Linked DNA regions of Styela clava. The protein of the gene in region 1 binds, or shares a complex with, the protein of each later gene. Links are inferred from orthologs where the notes say so. Each region holds a gene or a part of one and is shown on either strand. Other genes may lie near its edges.

Region 1 (3,679 bases):
TTTTTTTATAAATACAAATACCGGTATTGCTTTTTTGGTACTGTAATGAAAACAAGAGAACTATGCTCAAATTTGCGCACTTAGTCCACAACGTACCGCAACCTTCACGACTAACGCAAACGTAACCGCCTCAAGGTGTGCAACTTTTGATGACGTAATCGCACGCAAAAAACGAATTCAATAGGGCCCACAACAGCTTTTCTAAATAAATAAAATTGATAGTCTTCTTGCGACGAATACAATCTTCCACCACTAAAAATTCCAAGGCAATTGGTCCTGCAGTTATTGATAAAAAAAGTACAACCAGAAGCAGAACACACTTCCAATCAAGTTAAAATTCGGGCAAGGCTTCATTCGGTAGCATGTTCAATTCGAGAATTACCATCAACACAAATCCTCGGCAATAAATAGGATTGTACACAGTGGGGCAGATTGTTCGACAACACAAGTAGCATATTCGTGATCGATTGCACTTTGTTGTCTTCGTTTTTGTGGCACAAACAAATGGTGATACGACAGCTATAGCCCATCCTTATTTCTCCGTCATTTAATACAAAAAATCTCGATTCTTGTCATTTTATTTTCAAGTTTACCTTTTCATGGCTGTTCTAATATTTCACAATTCTCCACAAATCGCAACATATTTTTTAGAATGAATTTTGTGACATTATTCATCACAAAAAACGAGCAATGGCCTTTACGCTGTCGGAATCATAAATGTGGTAATATTTTAGGAGAACTTATCCACCTACAGTTACACACAATGCATGGTTGTGAGTTGTGACAGAGCCTGAGATAGAAATCAGCAAATATATATTTTGTTCAAACCATGATTCTAGATCATAAATGTTGTGGAATATATTACAGGCAAGAAATATTATTATTTGATATCGCTTCTGCTTATATTAACCTAATGACTTATTCAGCTTTTCTGTCTCAGACTTTTATTTCTAGGTTCGGGCTACATTTTTTGTTAACGTTGTAGTGTGGAGCATCGTAATTTAGAAATATGTGACTGTTGTTGGAATTAATTTATACCAGACTCATAGTAATCGACGATTCTATTTATTGGATAATTAACCAGAGCCTTGATACTGAATATTTATGATATCACCGCGGATTGTGGCAACCAATTTGAGGCGAGGTATTTGAGTCCGCGGCCTCGGAATTGGGAAACATTGGTATACTATACACTATACAGTATAGTAGCTCATAACATTTGACGTTTAGCTATTGTCGCTAAGTGGCACTCTATGAATATGGTTCGACTGATTGATTTGAACGTCATGCCATATGCCATTAATTAAAGTATTCATATACAATATTGCCATTAATTAAAGTATTCATATACAATATTGATTTAGAATATATAATAATATTGAATGATATCTAAACATATTTTGATAAATGTTCTCTTGCGATTATGATGCGTTGAATCTGAGCTGTTCCTTCGTATATTTGATATATTTTTGCATCTCTCAGCAACTTTTCTACCGGATATTCAGTGTTGAATCCAGCACCACCGAAAATCTGTACCGCATCCGATGCGCATTTATTAGCGACATCACCAGCAAACCCTTTAGCAATTGATGCTTCCATCGTGTTTCGGAATCCATTATCTATTTGCCAGGCAGCTTTATGGGTGGCGAGCCTAGCAAGCTCAATCTGCATTGCCATCTCAGCAAGCATGAAAGAGACGGCCTGATGCTGAGCAATAACTTTTCCCATTGTTCTGCGTTGCAAAGAATATCTGGTCGCCTCATCTAAAGCCCTTTGAGCAAGTCCCAAAGATCCCGATGCAACTGCAGGTCTAGTGTAGTCAAATGCTTTCATAGCAATTTTGAATCCATCTCCTTCGTTTCCCAAAAGGTTTTCTTTTGGTACAAGTACGTCCTCAAAAGTAATTCCTCTTGTATCTGAGCATCGTTGTCCCATATTCACCTCTTTTTTACCAGGAATTACACCAGGCGTATCGGCGTCAACTATGAAACCAGAAAGACATTTTGATGCTGGGAATTTTGGGTCAGTAACGGTTCTTGCTAAAACGAAGTACCAATTGGCTACTCCGCCGTTTGTAATCCACATTTTCTGGCCATTGAGGACGTAATGGTCACCTTTCTTTTCAGCTTTTGTACTTATCGCGGCAACATCGGAACCGGCACCGGGCTCCGTGACCGCATATGCACACATCAGCGGTTCTTCATTCATTCGTCGTAAATATTTACTTTTTTGCTCGTGATTTCCTGCAACAACAACCGGAACTTGTCCCAAGTTATTTGCTTCGAACGCCGTTTGAACTCCGGTACAACCGTACCCAATTTGCTCTGTTACTATACAGATGACAAGTGTGGACAATCCTAATCCGCCGTATTCAACTGGGATATGCAAATTCATAAATCCTAGTTCATGAGCTTTTTTCAGTATTTTCCAGGGATAATCGCCCGTTCGGTCTAGATTTGATGCTCCCGGTATTATTTCCTCTGCTGTAAACTTTTTGACAGCGTCCTGAAACTCTCGTTGCTCATCTGATAACTGGAAGCACAAGCCAGAAGAGGAAGCTGCACTACTGGGGGGTTTGCGAGCCGCCAGAAGAAGCCTCTTGGTATAACTATTCCTAATACTACACAACAATCGGAAATTCGCACCCAGAGTATTCATTGTCAGGCGTCTGTTAGGCAAGCAAAATACTCGTTATTAATAATCGGTAGAAAAAATTGAATAATCCACTTTGTGGAAGCATTAAAAACGAGGGAGGCTCCCAATTAGCCTAGTTCATATGTCTAAGAATTTATGATTATTGCAATGGCTAGCAGCAGGGTTGGATTAACCATTAAGCAAAATGAGCGCGTGCTTGGGGCGCCAATAATTCGAGTTGGTCGACGACACAGACCTCGACATTGGCCTATTTTTCGTTCTCAAATATCATTTAAAACCATTCTATAAATGTTTGTAGGTATGAGGACTATTCCCCAAAAGAACGCCAGGTTCATTATTGATACTTAAGTGCTTAGGTCTTAAGTAAGAGTCCATAAATTTTTTTTATTAATATCTGGGTTTTTAATCATCGATCTCTCGTAAGGAAATGTGCGACAAGGTGGCGAAAATACGTAGTAGTTAAGAGTGTAAAATACGTAGTTCCTAGAGTTTTTAATCGAAACAATTTCATATAAGCAATTGAAATCTTTTCTTCATAAGGCTCTACGCAACTTGTGAAAAGGTAAGCGAAAGAACGTACAATCTATGAATAACTGAAAAAGAGTGAAATAATCCAACTCATTGCAAAATAAAATGACAGCTGACAGAAATGCTTCGGGTTTTACATAATATCATGAAAAACCAAGCTTGAATATCTTGATAAGCAAAGAATTCAAAGCAAGGAATACCATTAACTAGAGAAAATTTGAATGCGGTAATCTGGCATATCAGTCGGAGTGTTTTCAAACCCTATTTTGAGTTTTGTGGAATTTTCTAGTTTCTCGTGGCACGCATTTGTTTTGTTTGAAACGAGTAATGTTTTTCACATGCTGACGACGAAATCGATGTTACATTTCCATTTGTAGCGACGCTTACCGAGCTTAACACACGCATTCGTGAGACATTGAGACTGTTCATCTGTCGGAATAGGGTGCAAGAAACCACTTTTAATTCGTTTTGAAATTTTATTATTGTTACTGCAACG
Region 2 (3,932 bases), about 5.8 Mb from region 1:
AACTTAAATTGGATGTTTGTGTATTGGGCTCTACTAGCTTGCTGGAATAGTTCCTGCTTCTCTTCATTGGTGTAAACCTAGTTTTGTTTGTGGAATACAGGAAAGCTTAGTTTTGTTTGTGGAAAATTAATAATTAACAACAAACAATTTAATGTATAAATGTATTTACATGTGAATAGCAACAGAATTATTTTACAGAGAAATCTTACCTAATCAATTTCTATCAGAAACCCCCAAAAAATATGATACGAATGAATATTTAAGTCCAGTTTCGAAAATTATTTTTTACGCATTTCGGAGAACCAATTTCTAATGTCTGCATCGAAACAACACTTTTCATTTAAGTGGAACAAATCAACGAATCTACCAACACTAACCCCAGACGAAATCATCGTAATGAAGCTCTTTGGATTCAATTTGTTCAGCGTATATAAAGTTTTACTAAAAACCTTGTCTGTCAGGTGCTTATTTTAGGTATGTATGTGTGGGGGTAGGGTTTATATATTTATCCCAGGGCAAAGAAACGCCGATAAGATGACTATTCCTATGGCGAACCACGGCCTCTTGTCCGGTTATTAGTTCATGCCGTGTATGAAATACGTGAATAGATTTACTGTATATATATTGCTAAATAAAAAGGCACTTGATAAATTCAACACCAACCACTCACATATATTCTTGTTTTCGACCAACGATAAATAAAGATCATACGAAATATGTATTTCTGTTTCGGAGTATTCAGAAAGTTGCAAAGTGCCCTGAATCAACAATTGCCCGATTTTTTTAAAATTTGTGCCCAGCTTTGCCCTATTTTAGAATTAATTTTTCAAATAAATCCAAAACTTGAGACGTTAGACTGCAGATTGCCAAACAGTATTGCTTCTTGTGGTATTGATAATGCTCAAATTGTCTTAGAAAAAATTCCATTTAAAAAAGTAAAGCATAGTAAGTTCTGGCAAAAATAATCTATGGAAATTGGAAAATATGGCGAAATCACCGAGAAGAATGAAAATTCGAACACCTGCGAAATTTGACACGTCTCCTCCAGCCACAATCGTTTTTGTTGTTTTACCAAATATATGTAAATTCAATCATACAAAATGTGTCTATTTAGTTTATTTTTTAAAAGTAATCAGAAACATTTTACGAAGTGCCTGAGATTTCACGAAAGCCCATTCGTCTGATTTTGAGCTGAGCGTTGCCATATTTTACGGTTGGAAAATTGATTATACCAGGAAAGAATGATTTACCTCCACAAACGAATATTATATTTCTATTCGATACAGAAAAGTATAAATCTATTCAAGATCTAATAACAACTGAAACCCCAACTAACTACGGAGAAAATTCAAAAATATGCCAGAAATAGTGCCTAAAAGTGTCTGGTTTTTGGGAGGCCAAGTTGTGTAGCTTCGCATTGGTGTTTGGCACACGTCTACCTATGGTTACGGTAATTTGTTTGTACCCCTGTTAGCAGTAAATTTCATTTGTCGCACGTTAAATATTATACCAAAATGGCCAGAGTTCTTGTTGGAGTGAAGAGAGTGATCGACTATGCTGTTAAGGTGAGTTCTAAATGTAAATTCTTAATACCTAATGTTAACGGCATACGAAACCACACCAAGACCATACGGTACCGGTACCTACTGACCTACTACCGGTACGAGTCCGATCGAACTCTGGAATACGCGTTTTTTTAGTTGTCTTGGGGGTCTAAAAAGCATTTCAAGCTATGGAAAATTGCTATCCATGATACGGAAAATTGATTTCATCTTTTTTACATTTTAAAAAGGGGATTTTCGGCCCGCAAAACCACCCCCTGGCTACGCCACTGTCGAGCTCTGTCACTTCAGCACATACCGTAGAACATTAATGAACCAAATTTCCCCAAACTTAGATTAATCTGCCTCCATACAATTGTCAAGCCCATGCTGAAAACAAATAATGAAATAATTGTTGAACTGGCTAACGAATCCCATACTCGACATGGACTAGTAACCAGACGAGAGGCCGTGGTTCGCTATATGATTAAGTCGTTTTATCGGCTTCCCTCACCCCGGGATGATACATAAATATTATCCTATTTCAGTATTTTTGTTTTCGTTATTCCAATTCCTTCATATTTAACAATCCAGCAATCAGACAATAGCCATGTCAGCATGTACCGTAATATTCCGAAAAAAAAATGGCCCTGTATGAGATTATCACTTCTTTATCACAGCCCAGCAGCTTGACATCGCTAACGGGTTCTAGCAAAGTTGACTCTGTAACTGCTTAAATAAAGACAAACAAAAATGTAATGTGAAGTACAGCCCAATTTTTTTTTTAAAGTCTGTCTCATGCGGAACTCTATACCCTATTTGGCATGAGACATATCTGCCTAGTTGAAAATATAGCAGGTTTGATTTCAATTAAATGCTTTTGTCGAGAACTGCCTTCCGCGCCAAATTTAAAATGCAAAATAAATGCGACCCTTCTGCCAAAGTTGTGGCCATGTAACCCTAAGATATTTCTTCATCAGTATGCTCACAGCAGTACAGTCTTGACAACACCGGTGTTTGGTTTATGTCTTTGAATGACAATAGGTAGAAGGAAAAATGGGAATTCAATCATAGCTGTACCTTGCAATAATGGAAAAATCTGATCTGTTTGTCGCAATACTTTCCCTTAAAGTATTCACTTTTTCACTATTTTTGATCTCTTAGGGCAGGGGTTCTCAAACTTTTGGTGTTGCGGAGCCCCTGAAAAGGTTGACCATTATTCGCGGAGCCCCAAAAGAAATGTTAAAATTGTAGCTTTCCGATAAATATTCCTGAGTAAGTTAAAAGTACTTAACTTAATTTAAAGGCTAAACCTTTTTTTGATGGGGTTAATGCAAGTCATAAATAAATCAAAATTTCAAAGATAAATTATATATACTCTTACTAAAGCTGTAAATTTGACGCTTGACAAACATATTAATAAACTAGGGGTCGAATCTTTTCCCTTTTGACATTTTCGGAAGACTTAAAACTAAAAGGCTGCTAATAACGTGCGCGATTGCATTTTGTTACAATCACCGATAGTTTTCGTCAGCATGGCATGTTAAACATCTTTACGCCAGTGTTTATTCTCCCTAAATCAAAAATTTTCTTCGGCTTATAGACGTATTGTTCCACAATGACGACGATAATTGCAATTTATTATGAGTTCAATGTGAAAAACATGTTACCATATATAGTCATCGGCGACGAAATGCTAAAAATAATAATTAATAATAAAGAGGTAAATCCGCAACTCAAATTTCTTGATTGAAAAACGGCATTCCAAAATATTAAATTTCAAAATAAAAGATCACACTATAAGTTTGGTTTTAGCAGACTCACGTCAGATTAAAAACGCTTTTATAGGCATTGTAAATCACAAAATTTGGTGTAATGTTAGGTTTTCTTTGGTTATTCGTAGTACAGTAACTGAGAAATCGAAACACAGTCAATTGTGTGCGCGATTTATCTTTTTTTTATTCTGAAACTACCGACGGAGCCGCATGCATTAAAATAAATTTCAATCGTATTTTGCCCAGATCTTGTGATTTTTTTAACGGCGATATCTTGCTTAATAATAATCTCGAGTGCAAAAGAACAAATCAAGTTTGACAAATTCCAAGATCGCAAAAATACGACTCCAATTTATTCATAGGTGGCAGTTTATCACATATTTTATGTTATTTTAGAATAGTATTCCTTCATTTTAGTAATCCTAATAGTAATCTCGAATGAAACTTGAGTAACTATGAGTACAATTGAATTATTACGACGAGACACTTTAAATGCTCGCATCGACCATACATTGAATATTTTACGCAACAGAAATCTCGTTATCCGTTTTTTATAATCGCAAAGAATGTTGCGCGGAAATTTCCGATTCAAATCCCCACCTCTTGAGAATCCTGG

What was found.
Region 2: the proteins of medium-chain specific acyl-CoA dehydrogenase, mitochondrial-like (region 1) and electron transfer flavoprotein subunit beta-like are in contact, whole or in part, in a crystal structure (PDB 2A1T), measured with the Homo sapiens proteins. The link is inferred for Styela clava from reciprocal best matches to the Homo sapiens genes ACADM and ETFB. Residues at the interface, in NP_000007.1 of Homo sapiens: Glu43, Gln44, Lys46, Glu47, Phe48, Thr51, Lys54, Phe55, Glu58, Glu59, Arg80, Glu83, Leu84, Gly85, Leu86, Leu98, Leu100, Ile108; in NP_001976.1 of Homo sapiens: Glu73, Arg76, Thr77, Tyr192, Ala193, Thr194, Leu195, Pro196, Ile198, Met199, Lys202.

What each region holds. Positions count from the first base shown.
Region 1 is NC_135253.1:6,156,829-6,160,507, forward strand, and holds medium-chain specific acyl-CoA dehydrogenase, mitochondrial-like, read right to left. Parts: upstream 2,691-3,679; 5' UTR 2,659-2,690; coding exon 1,390-2,658; 3' UTR 561-1,389; downstream 1-560. UniProt on the Homo sapiens protein: Medium-chain specific acyl-CoA dehydrogenase is one of the acyl-CoA dehydrogenases that catalyze the first step of mitochondrial fatty acid beta-oxidation, an aerobic process breaking down fatty acids into acetyl-CoA and allowing the production of energy from fats.
Region 2 is NC_135253.1:364,656-368,587, reverse strand, and holds the start of electron transfer flavoprotein subunit beta-like, read left to right. Parts: upstream 1-1,388; 5' UTR 1,389-1,514; coding exon 1,515-1,565; intron 1,566-3,932. UniProt on the Homo sapiens protein: Heterodimeric electron transfer flavoprotein that accepts electrons from several mitochondrial dehydrogenases, including acyl-CoA dehydrogenases, glutaryl-CoA and sarcosine dehydrogenase.